3 linked regions of the Canis lupus familiaris genome follow. The protein of the gene in region 1 interacts with the protein of each later gene in a pairwise test. Links are inferred from orthologs where the notes say so. Each region holds a gene or a part of one and is shown in the gene's direction. Other genes may lie near its edges. The genes, in order: TRIM41, CSNK2A2 and CHD2.

Evidence for each region.
Region 2: the proteins of TRIM41 (region 1) and CSNK2A2 interact in a two-hybrid assay, tested with the Homo sapiens proteins (3 studies listed by BioGRID and IntAct). The two-hybrid records come from large-scale screens. The link is inferred for Canis lupus familiaris from reciprocal best matches to the Homo sapiens genes TRIM41 and CSNK2A2.
Region 3: the proteins of TRIM41 (region 1) and CHD2 interact in binary tests that used the Homo sapiens proteins (3 or more experiments, as listed by UniProt). The two-hybrid records come from large-scale screens. The link is inferred for Canis lupus familiaris from reciprocal best matches to the Homo sapiens genes TRIM41 and CHD2.

The regions. Positions count from the first base shown.
Region 1 is NC_049232.1:599,014-602,761, forward strand, and holds the start of TRIM41 (E3 ubiquitin-protein ligase TRIM41), read left to right. Parts: upstream 1-974; 5' UTR 975-1,036; coding exon 1,037-1,846; intron 1,847-3,748.
Region 2 is NC_049223.1:57,697,664-57,701,311, forward strand, and holds part of CSNK2A2 (casein kinase II subunit alpha'), read left to right. Parts: intron 1-146; coding exon 147-230; intron 231-1,028; coding exon 1,029-1,139; intron 1,140-1,380; coding exon 1,381-1,482; intron 1,483-2,225; coding exon 2,226-2,326; intron 2,327-3,340; coding exon 3,341-3,489; intron 3,490-3,648.
Region 3 is NC_049224.1:47,591,911-47,595,558, reverse strand, and holds the end of CHD2 (chromodomain-helicase-DNA-binding protein 2), read left to right. Parts: coding exon 1-274; 3' UTR 275-3,567; downstream 3,568-3,648. UniProt on the Homo sapiens protein: ATP-dependent chromatin-remodeling factor that specifically binds to the promoter of target genes, leading to chromatin remodeling, possibly by promoting deposition of histone H3.3.

The DNA.
Region 1 (3,748 bases):
TTGGAGAGCATTCCCATTTTACAGCTACGAGTATTGCACTGGGTGGAGGCTCGGGTAATTTTACTATTCCTTTGCTGAAGGGCAGCTAGAGAGGTTCATCCAAAGGACACGACAGTGACCAGACGACAGCGCTAGAATGCGTATGGGAATGCCAGCCACAGTGAGGAGGACGGAGAAGGTCTCGGGTCTCGGGCCCCGGCCCCCGGCCCCCGGCCCCCATCCGTCTCGGAGGAACTCCGAGTTGCCAAACAACAAAGTCCTCGGCCTAGAAGGGCCGGAAGTACTTGAGGGCGCTCAGCGGAGCCCGCCCCTCCGCTTCCGGCATCGGCTGTGGGGAGGCCCTGGTGCAGTCCTCCGTGTTCGGTTAGTAGGATGGCGCCAGGCCGACGCGGTCATAGTACCGAGGGCGGACGGCCGCTAAGCGCTCCCATCCTCCCCCAAAGTTTATCCCTAGTGGCGAGGGATGGGGGAGGCCGGTTCTTCCGGGTCGTCCGCGTTCCCTGCTCCTTCCTATTACAGAGATGTGGGCCTCCATCGTTCTAGCTCTCCTGCCCTGTTCCCGTGTGCCTGCTAGAGCGTCTCCTCGTCGTTTCCTGTCGCCCAGAGGCCCGGGAGGAAAGAAGGGGGCGTAGCGCTACCACGGAGGGACCTTGCGAGCTTGGGCGACGCTCAGACACCGGAAGTGTTGGCAGGGAGGCCGGAAGTGAGGGGGAGGAGCCAGGAAGTGAGGAGGGGCGGGGGCTTATGAGGAGGCCAAGGGAGCGTTGGGACAGATTTGCACTCAGGGCCACCTGAGGGACTTGGCTGTAGCGCTCCGCTCTGTCCCCTCCCCTCGCAGAGACACGGTTGTCGTCTAGGAGTAGGAAACTCTGTGTAGAAGGGTGGGTTGTCGGAGGACCTTCCTCTGTCTGCGCTAGAGACAAGGTGTGGAGAGGCGGGGTGGGGGTGGGGCCGGGTCGTCAGGGAGTCTGAGAGGGAAGACCCCCGCCCCCCCGCCCCCCCACCGCCCATCTACACTGGCTGACTGGACACTAAGATGGCTGCCGTTGCCATGGCACCCAACCCTGTGCAGACCCTTCAGGAGGAGGCGGTGTGCGCCATCTGCCTCGATTACTTCACGGACCCCGTGTCCATCGGCTGCGGGCACAACTTCTGCCGAGTGTGTGTAACCCAGCTGTGGGGAGGGGAGGATGAGGAAGACAGGGACGAGTTAGACCGGGAGGAGGATGAGGAGGACGGAGAGGAGGAGGAAGTGGAGGCAGTGGGGGCCGGTGGGGGGTGGGACACCCCCATGCGGGATGAAGACTATGAGGGCGACATGGAGGAGGAGGTCGAGGAGGAAGAGGAGGGTGTGTTTTGGACCAGTGGCATGGGCGGGTCCAACTGGGACAACATGGACTACGTGTGGGAGGAGGAGGACGAGGAGGAAGATTTGGACTACTACTTGGGGGACATGGAGGAGGACCTGAGAGGGGAGGATGAGGAGGACGAGGAGGAAGTACTGGAGGAGGACGAGGAAGAGGAGCTAGACCCCGTCACCCCACTGCCCCCGCCTCCAGCCCCTCGGAGGTGCTTCACCTGCCCCCAGTGCCGAAAGAGCTTTCCCAGGCGGAGCTTCCGCCCCAACCTGCAGCTGGCCAACATGGTCCAGGTGATTCGGCAGATGCACCCAACTCCTGGCCGAGGGAGCCGTGGGAGCGAGCAGGGCATTTGTCCAAAACACCAGGAAGCCCTGAAGCTCTTCTGCGAGGTGGATGAAGAGGCCATCTGTGTGGTGTGCCGAGAATCCAGGAGCCACAAACAGCACAGCGTGGTGCCATTGGAGGAGGTGGTGCAGGAGTACAAGGTGAGAGAAGTAGAAGATGGGAGTTAAGTGGGGGTGGAGAGGAAGTAAGAGGAGCTGGGAAAGGAAACCTGTCCCCTCCTGCCCCCAGAACCTCGTGCACTGATGAGCTTATTCTTCTTTTCTAAGCACTTATTGGCATCAAGGTGGGTTAGATTAAGAAGGATCCTGTACACGACGAAGCAGACCAGTGAAGAAGAGCAGGAAGATTGGTTTCCTCTAGAGAAATTGGGCAAAGCCCAGGTGATGTCACATCACTGGGCTGCATCTCTTGGGGAAAGCCACTGCCGTTTCACACTTCCGTTGTCCCTAAGTGTAGGCGTGCAGGTGGCAGGCCCCTCTGGCTTTACCACCAGTCTCATTTTCCTTTCCTTCAGCCTGTCCTTGACTCAGATGCCTGGAGATGGGAAGGACTTGGGGCCTCAAAGAACAGGAAAGGGCCTTAAGGAATGACTAGTGTCAGATTCAGGTGCTCTGCCACTTGCCTTTTAATGGATTTTTCATCTACCTCATGGTTTGGCTTGGTTCTCTTATCAAAGACTTTTGTTGGATCTGCATCAGCATAATGTACTGACTAGAACTTAACCTTTCCTGAGAATGCAGGAAAAAGGGAGAGGCTTCTTCTTCTTTTTTTTTTTTTTTAACCATTTTATTTATTTATTCATGAGAGAGACAGAGACACAGGCAGAGGGAGAAGCAGGCTCCATGAAGAGAGCCCAATGTGGCACTTGATCCCGGGACCCCAGGAGGCAAGCGCCAAACGGCGGAGCCACCCAGGGATCCCCAAGGGAGAGGCTTCTAAGTCAGAAGACTGGGCTGGCTCTACACTTATTCACTCAGGCATCTTTAAAAGTCTTGGAACTTTAATATCTCAAGGATTAAAAGTTAATATTTACTGAACACTTGCTATGTACACCAGGCACTGTACCAAGCACTTTTCAGGAACTATCTCATTTAAAACTCAAAACAATCCTGTTAAGTTTGATGTGGTTTCTATCCCCATTTTATAGATTAGGAAGCAGATTTAAGTAATATACACAGGGCCACACAGATGGGCTTGGTTGTGACCCCTTCCCCTGCATCCCTGCACACTGTTAACAATGTCACCACCATTTAGATATCTGTTAGTTTGACTTTCCTGATATGTGATTCTAGTTTGGTTAATGCTTTGCACCCTACTTCTGGCCCTTACTCTTTTGGGATATGGGTCAAGATTTGCCTGTAAGACAGCACAGTTAGCACTACTTAGGGAAGGCTGGGACAGGTTTGCAACAGTGGGACCGGGAGGAAGAAGGGGTAGCTCCTATGTGGCCTGTGCAGAACTTTTTTGTTTTATGACCTGTATTTCCACACCTTCTCACACAGTAATGTCATTTAGGGAATCTTATCGTTACCTCCATTTTAGAGTAGAGAGTCTAGAGCTAGAGTACAGCTAAGACAGACTTACATCTTATGACAAGTAACTATTTCATCCACACAGTGATTGTCCCCATTACTAAGGGAGTTTTCAAAAGTACAGTGGGCCCTACCACTTGAGATTCTGAGTCAGAGACAGGGAGGATATCAGAGTATCTTTAAGGAAGTCCAGCCTAGCATGGGAATCACTGCATTGGTAATATCACCTGCTTTGTAGGCCCTGAGTTGTTTGGGGAGGTTGTGATCTCCTTTTGTCCATTTTTTTTTTTTTTCATCTCCTTTTGGCTCTTAGTTAACTGTACCCATCAATGGGCAATTTGTTAATTGAATGTTGGTGTGGAGTATTCATGGGCATTCCACCACTTCTTCACCCTACTCCTACAGGACTCTTGTGAAGAGGTTTCTGAAACTGGATTTTAATTTGTGTTAGCCACATCTGTTGTATGCCAGCCCAGAAGAGCTCTGCAGTTTGAGGAGGCCACATAGATG
Region 2 (3,648 bases), on another chromosome or scaffold:
CTGAGGCATGGTTATTGTCCTCTGTCGCAGCAGTAAGCTGCCCCTTGGGAGATTGTATTCACGTGAAGCTGTCACAAATAATATGCTTGCGTTGGGAGGTTGGTAGACAGTGTGCTTACTTTTCTCTGTGCTTTCTTATCTAATAGGCTCTGGATTACTGCCACAGCAAGGGAATCATGCACAGGGATGTGAAACCTCACAATGTCATGATAGATCACCAACAGAAAAAGGTACCGTTGCAGCCAGGCAGCAACAAGGCTTTTCTTAAAAGGTCTAGGGCAGACCACAACTCTAGGTATTGACCTAGGAGGGACTGCAGACCAGTACTGTTTTCTTTGGCAGACTTGTGTTATTGTTATTTCTCCGGTCTCCAGTGTTGCTTTCTGCTCTGCATGAGCATGGTACACAAGGAAAGTAGACCCGTGAGCCTAACTGTAGTCCCTTGTTTATTTTGGTCATGGTTTTCCAGAGGGCCTCGCAAAGAAACTCCAGCAGATGGTTTGTACTTCTTTTAATGACCCTTAGACCAGTCTGCCTAGCCTTTACACTTGGGTCCCTCCTGTTTTTCATATCCAATTCTGGTTGTCTCTGATTGGTGAGTAAGTGATTCCACTACTGTGTGATTAATGAAAAGCTGGAGCAATGCTTCAATCCTGGGGTGGGGCCTGGGTCTCCAACCCTTTGTGTTGTGGCTTGAGCTTATGATGGGAGCTGTTAATAATGGGGGAATGTGTTATATGCAAGTAAAACAGAGGCAGAGTAAAAAGCTTAAGCTTGATTGATGGGAAGAGAATGATAAGCCAGGATAATTTAAATTAAAAAAAAAAAACAACAACAAATAAGATTCTGAAAGCTCTACTGTAGAGGTGACCTCTTCCACAGTTGCTGAAAGGGTAATTTTTGCCAGTGCACTGGCTAACATTTGTTATGTAGCGCACATATTGTCAGCTAACGTGATGTGGCCTTTTTCTAAGGCACAGGTGTCTAGAAACACTCCTTTACGGGTTTGATTTCTGTTGTGTTTGTAGCTGCGGCTCATAGACTGGGGTCTGGCAGAGTTCTACCACCCTGCTCAGGAGTACAATGTCCGTGTAGCATCGAGGTACTTCAAGGGACCGGAGCTCCTTGTGGACTATCAGGTACAACTCACGCCTCCTTTGTGTGTTTCCTTAGGGCTTCTCCTCGTGTGCTGTTTATTAAGTCAGTTTGGATACATTCAAAACCCCAGCCTGAAGCAGTCATTTCAGATTTTTCTCAGTGACTTTTTTTTTTTTCTTTGAATTCTAAAATATGTGCAAAGGTCAACTGAAGACTAGAAATCCAGATCAAAGAAATACATTTGCAACACCTTTCACTAACAGGCTGACCTTGTTTCCCCAGATGTACGATTACAGCTTGGACATGTGGAGTTTGGGCTGTATGTTAGCAAGCATGATCTTTCGAAAGGAGCCCTTCTTTCACGGACAGGACAACTATGACCAGGTGAGCAAACACTAACTGGCTCTTCCCCATGTGGGGGCACATGCCAAAGAAATGGGAGTCTGTTGACAGGGATGCTATCCTTGAGTCACTCAGTGTCTGCACTTAAGTTCTCCTTCAGGGTAAAGAGCTTCATGAGATTTTGTCTGTGGTTACTAGGTCCCCAAACATAGAGCCAGATAAAGCTATCTTACTAAGCTCCACGTATGCCCCACAGTGAGTCTGTGAAGAAGTCAGACACACCTTGTCTAACAACTAGCTTCTAGATTAGATTGTGATGCCCCCGTAATTGTCAGCTTCTGGAAGATTATTGTCTTAAGTTATTACCATTTTATTTTTGTTTTGTTTTTAATTTTTTTTTTTTTTATTTATTTATGATGGTCACACAGAGAGAGAGAGAGAGGCAGAGACATAGGCAGAGGGAGAAGCAGGCTCCATGCACTGGGAGCCTGATGTGGGATTCGATCCCCGGTCTCCAGGATCGCGCCCTGGGCCAAAGGCAGGCGCCAAACCGCTGCGCCACCCAGGGATCCCAGTTATTACCATTTTAAAGGGAGTTTGGAAATTTGCTTTCTGTGAACATCATTGGCCTTTGGTCTACCTCCTGTCAGCCCCGGGCTCCAATCTGCCTCTGGTCCCTGGAGATTCAGTGATGGAGAAGTCCTCTCATTTCTTGGGATAGCATCCTCACAGGCTTGCGGTGAGCTCTGTGCTCAGTAATTTGGTCAGTTTGTTTTGTGTTTCAGCTTGTTCGCATTGCCAAGGTTCTGGGTACAGATGAGCTGTATGGGTATCTGAAGAAGTATCACATAGACCTAGATCCGCACTTCAACGATATCCTGGGACAGTAAGTAAGAGAGAGGGAGAGAGAACGAGGGTTTTAACTAAACCCATTTCAGAAGAGGGAATATTCGCCGAAATCACTTGCTAATCATAGCAAAGTTGAAAATACCCTTCTTTTTTCTCATGTATGCTTTTTAAAACTTGTTTTGAGGTTTGGGCATTGTTTACATGTGTCTTCTGATCGTTGTACTTCTCCAAGAGATAACCTGTCAGTCCATAGAAAATAGGAGACAAAATCCTGTTACAGTGAAATGCTTTGCAGGACAGTGTATGCTTATTTTAATGGAAAATCTTAGAAAGCTGTGATTCTTCTTTGAGGAAGAGATTTATAGTTTTTTCTTGTTCTAGTTAACGGGTTTTCTACAAGGTGGCAAATTTTATTTTTTTTTAAGATCTTATTTATTTATTCATGATAGACATAGAGAGAGAGAGAGAGGCAGAGACACAGGCAGAGGGAGAAAAGCAGGCAGGCTCCATGCCAGGAGCCTGACGTGGGACTCGATCCCGGGACTCCAGGATCGCGCCCTGGGCCAAAGGCAGGCACCAAACCGCTGAGCCACCCAGGGATCCCCCCAACGTGGCAAATTTTAAAGCATATTTGCAGGTACAGTGTACTAGTGTTGAAAAGTAAATGCGTTGACAGTTCTCAGTGTTTTGTGGAGCCTCTGTTTCCAAGGCTAGCTCTCTAAATATTTTTGCTGCACAACAAAAATAACTCTGTCACCTCTGTGCCTCACCAGAATTGACTAAAAGCCTGATCCATAAGAAATGATCTAGGAAGGTGCCACAAATTCTAAATCAGATGTAGAAGCTTTAGTTCATTTTATCAGAGAGCATGTTTTTTGTTTCAAGATGCCTCAGATATTCCCGTGGAGGGTGGGGCAGACACCTGTGAGAATGAGATTTAATAAGTTTATAATCCTCCTGGGGTTCTAAGATTCTATTGGCTTTAACCATGGTAATGTCTGGATTCTTGTTGAATTGAATCTCAGTACCAGTGCTTCCCTTTCCTCCTCAGACATTCACGGAAACGCTGGGAAAACTTTATCCACAGTGAGAACAGACACCTCGTCAGCCCTGAGGCCCTAGATCTTCTGGACAAACTTCTGCGATACGACCATCAACAGAGACTGACCGCCAAAGAGGCCATGGAGCATCCCTACTTCTGTGAGTCTCCAGGGACCATTTGCAGGGGCCTGATTTATTAAAGGAATAAGTCTCCTGTTCTTTATCTTTGAGGCCAGTCAGGAGAATTCTAGGTGTTTGGATTGAATCATCCTTGGAATTTGGCCTCATTCATTCTGGACTATTGAGACAGCTCTTGCA
Region 3 (3,648 bases), on another chromosome or scaffold:
GCAGGATTTCCGACGAATGTCTGACCACCGCCCCCCGATGGGCTATCATGGCCAAGGACCCTCAGACCATTACCGCTCTTTCCACACAGACAAATTGGGGGAGTATAAACAGCCCCTGCCCCCTCTGCACCCTGCAGTCTCAGACCCTCGCTCACCCCCTTCTCAGAAGTCTCCCCACGATTCCAAGTCACCCCTGGATCACAGGTCTCCTTTGGAGAGATCATTAGAACAGAAAAACAATCCAGATTATAACTGGAATGTTCGGAAAACATAAAGGACGACTGGGAAAGAAGGGCAGAGCAAGAGTCATTAAGCACCTGGATATTTTTGGTCTGATCCAGTAGGAGCCAGTTATCTAGACCAATAAGTGGAGTTTCTGGACATGCTGCTGTTGTCAGCTCGCCGGTGGAAGGAGCACCTCGAGGAGTGGAGGGCCTTTCACTCGGTCCAGCTTGGGTTTGGGTCACCACTCCTACACTTTGACACCCCATCCCATTCCAGCCTGGTTCTGGCCTGTCACTGCGATGGGTGCTAGGAGGAAGAGGTGACTTCTGTGTACCAGCTTTGTGAGCTGTGTGTCCCCAGAGAAGGAAGAAGGGATCTTAGAGTCATGAGTATTTTGTTGCCCTGAGCCTGGGTGCAGTGGGCTGGGTAGGAGCGTGTGTGTGTGTGTGTGTGTGTGTGTGCGTGCGTGTGTGTGCGCGTGCGTGCGCGCGTAGGCAGCCAGGACCTGCTGGACGGCACACGATTTGCTTCACTGTGACGTGACAGATGCTGCTGACAGGGAGCGGGGCGTGGGTCTCGCCCCGTGGGACTTGAAGGGGAGCAGTACACTCCTCGGATGTGTTCTTGGGAGAAACCGTGCTGGGGCCTCAGCATGACACCTGTGGTGCAGGGGGGCTAGACAGAGGAAAACAGCTTCCACAGTGGCCCCTTCCCGACCAACACTAATTTTTCCCACACTATCTGTACATTTCAAAGGCTTGGTCTTCTGAGTGGGCCTCCTTTGCCCTGGTGCCAGGGAGAGTAGGGTCCATCTGGCTGACTTCTGAGCACTGTGAGCTAGGCAGCATTGGAGTTGGCATGGGTCTGCCTTTGTTGGGCATGGGCTGAAAGAGGGGCAGGGGCAGTGTGGCCAGGGACTCAGAGTCCCTCGGTGCATTTCTGATCCTGTGATAGGAAGTATTAAATTCAGAGCCTGGGAAGGAGGGAGAAGCTTGCTGCTGGCAGGGGCCCAGGTGGGGGTGCAGGTGTTAAGCAGGTTTCCTGGGGTGGGGCTTCAGGAGTGCCAGGGAATGGGGGCTTTCGTGTTGTGCCAGGTCAGCGTTTGCAGCTGCCTTGTAGTTAATTCTAGTTCCCTTTGCACAGTGTGAATAAGTAGATGACGCACAGCACACATCTCCTGACCCCGTGTGGCGGGTGGACAGGTGGAAACTCCGTTACCTATGGGGAACCCACACATTAGAATTGAACTGCTTATTATTATTATTTTTTTTTTTTTAGGATGAGATCAAAGTATAAACCTAAGTTAAAGTTTTTCCAAACTAGGATGCCTCCAAGGACAGGGGATTGAGCTGCAAACAGGAAGAGTCCTGGGGTTGAACGAGTCAGTGGTGGGAAGGCAGATTGGTTATACCAATTAATCAGGCTCCTTTCATTCTGCGGATCCTGGGCCTTCCATTTTACTCATTTTAAATATAGCTTGCCAGTATTGTTTGAGTATCCAAAGGCCTTTCTAGGTGGGATAATGGACTTGAACCTACAGCATGCCTTCATGTGTCCAGGCTCAGAGCAGGTGAAAACCTTCCCATTAGGCATGCCCAGGGTCAGCTCTCTGAACTAACCCATGAGGACTTCATAAAATGATCATCACTTACTTGCCAGGACCCTGGGCAGCACCATTAATGCCTTTACTAAGGAATTCTCAAGTCCTGTCACCCTAGTGAAGCAGATGTGGCTTTGGTGGTTCGTTGCATCTTGCTGTCCCCAGTATCCTGGGGCCGGCCAGGTGTGCATTCTAGAGGGGCTGGGTCCTCACAGCTTGTGTTGGGAGTTCAGTGGGCCTGCCCCCTCCTGATCTATCTCCTCATGGTACTGGGTAGTTCAGCGTGGGCTTGTACGTACCTGGTCAGCATGCCCTGGAGCATAGCCCAAAGAAATGCATAGGATCCCGTGGCCACAGTCATCCCATTGGGACTGTTCTGTGAGAGAAGAGTGTATTTGCTTTGGCCACCACCAGTAGCTTCTTGATGACAGTACTGAGACTACCCTGTGTTTCTGTTGCCCAGGCCAAAGAGGAAGGCTAGGTTGATTTGCTTGTCCTTTGGGTTGGGAGGGGAGGGAAGAGGGAAGCAGGTGCCCCCAGCATAGCATGTCTCTCCCTGTGGGAAGTCAGGCCGTGTCTTCTGGGAGGCATGGCAGGAGGCCCTGAATTTCAGTTCTCAGCCAGGGTGGTTTTCTCTGAAGTTGATAGGAGGTGTGAGTTATTCCCAAAGATGTCTCATCATGAAGAAAAAGGAACTTCCTTTTGTTTACATTCAGGACTTTTAGTGCCATATGATGTAGCAAAAGGCAATATTAGCCAGATCAGTGTTAAATTGATTATAAAATTACAGTATCCCCATAAAAGCGTCTATTTTAGTGTTGAAGTATGTTTGAAGAGTGAGTTGGGAAAAGGAGGCATTTCCTCATTGACCTAAATCAGTATAAATACTGTATGCTTTTGTCAAAAACGGATTTGCACAGGTAGGTATTCTCTCCCCATGGGGATGGGATAAGCTGCCCCGGGAATCTGCAAGGGTGGTATTCCATGGAGCCTAGCTTTGAAGGATTTCATAATTGGGTAGAAACAGCAGGGTTGAGGAAGAGGGGAGTTAGCATCACCTGAGCTCTGGATATAAACAAGGATTAACGTGGTACACCACAGCCCTGGAAAAGGATGCCTGAAAGCCCAGGTCCAGCCCTGCGGTCTTTCCAGAGACAGCTGGAGAGAAAAAGCCAGGCCCTCTGCAGAGCCCGAGCTGGTGGCCCCTGGGCCCCCTCTCTCTCCTTCTAGTCATTCCTTTCTTTAGCCCTTTCACGGGAAACCAGAACACTTCTCACATCGTGCCGCAGACATTTTAGCCTGATGCCTGAGAGCTGCATCAGGATGTGCGGTGCACATGCAATTCAGTTACAAATTCACACAGGGACACTGGAATCCTACAGACCAAAATCCACTCGTCAGCAGGAGCGGTGGCCCTGGGCGGAGCACCAGTGGTTTTCTGGCTTGTCTGAGGGCTGCCGTGTGGGGCGAGGAGAGCCAGGCCAAGGGTCCAGGCTGCTGTAGTCCATCCGTACCCCATGCGTTTGGGGACAGATGGTTTTTCTTTATTGTAAAATTGTGGACTTTTAAAAACCTGTTGACTAAACAGTAATTAATTTATATTTGTGAAAAATGCCACTGTCCTAGTGATTTCTGATGTAAATACTGTTGTTTATATAGTATGTATTAAATTTTCCTACATTGTAAAACTGCTGTACTTTTGATTCTTGTATATTAAAAAGTGTCACTAAGGATTTTTAGAATTGGTTGAACACAGTTACGTTGCGTTGGCGTGAACTCTGACTGGATACACCTCCGGTTCCTTCCCTTCCCTTGCTGGCTGG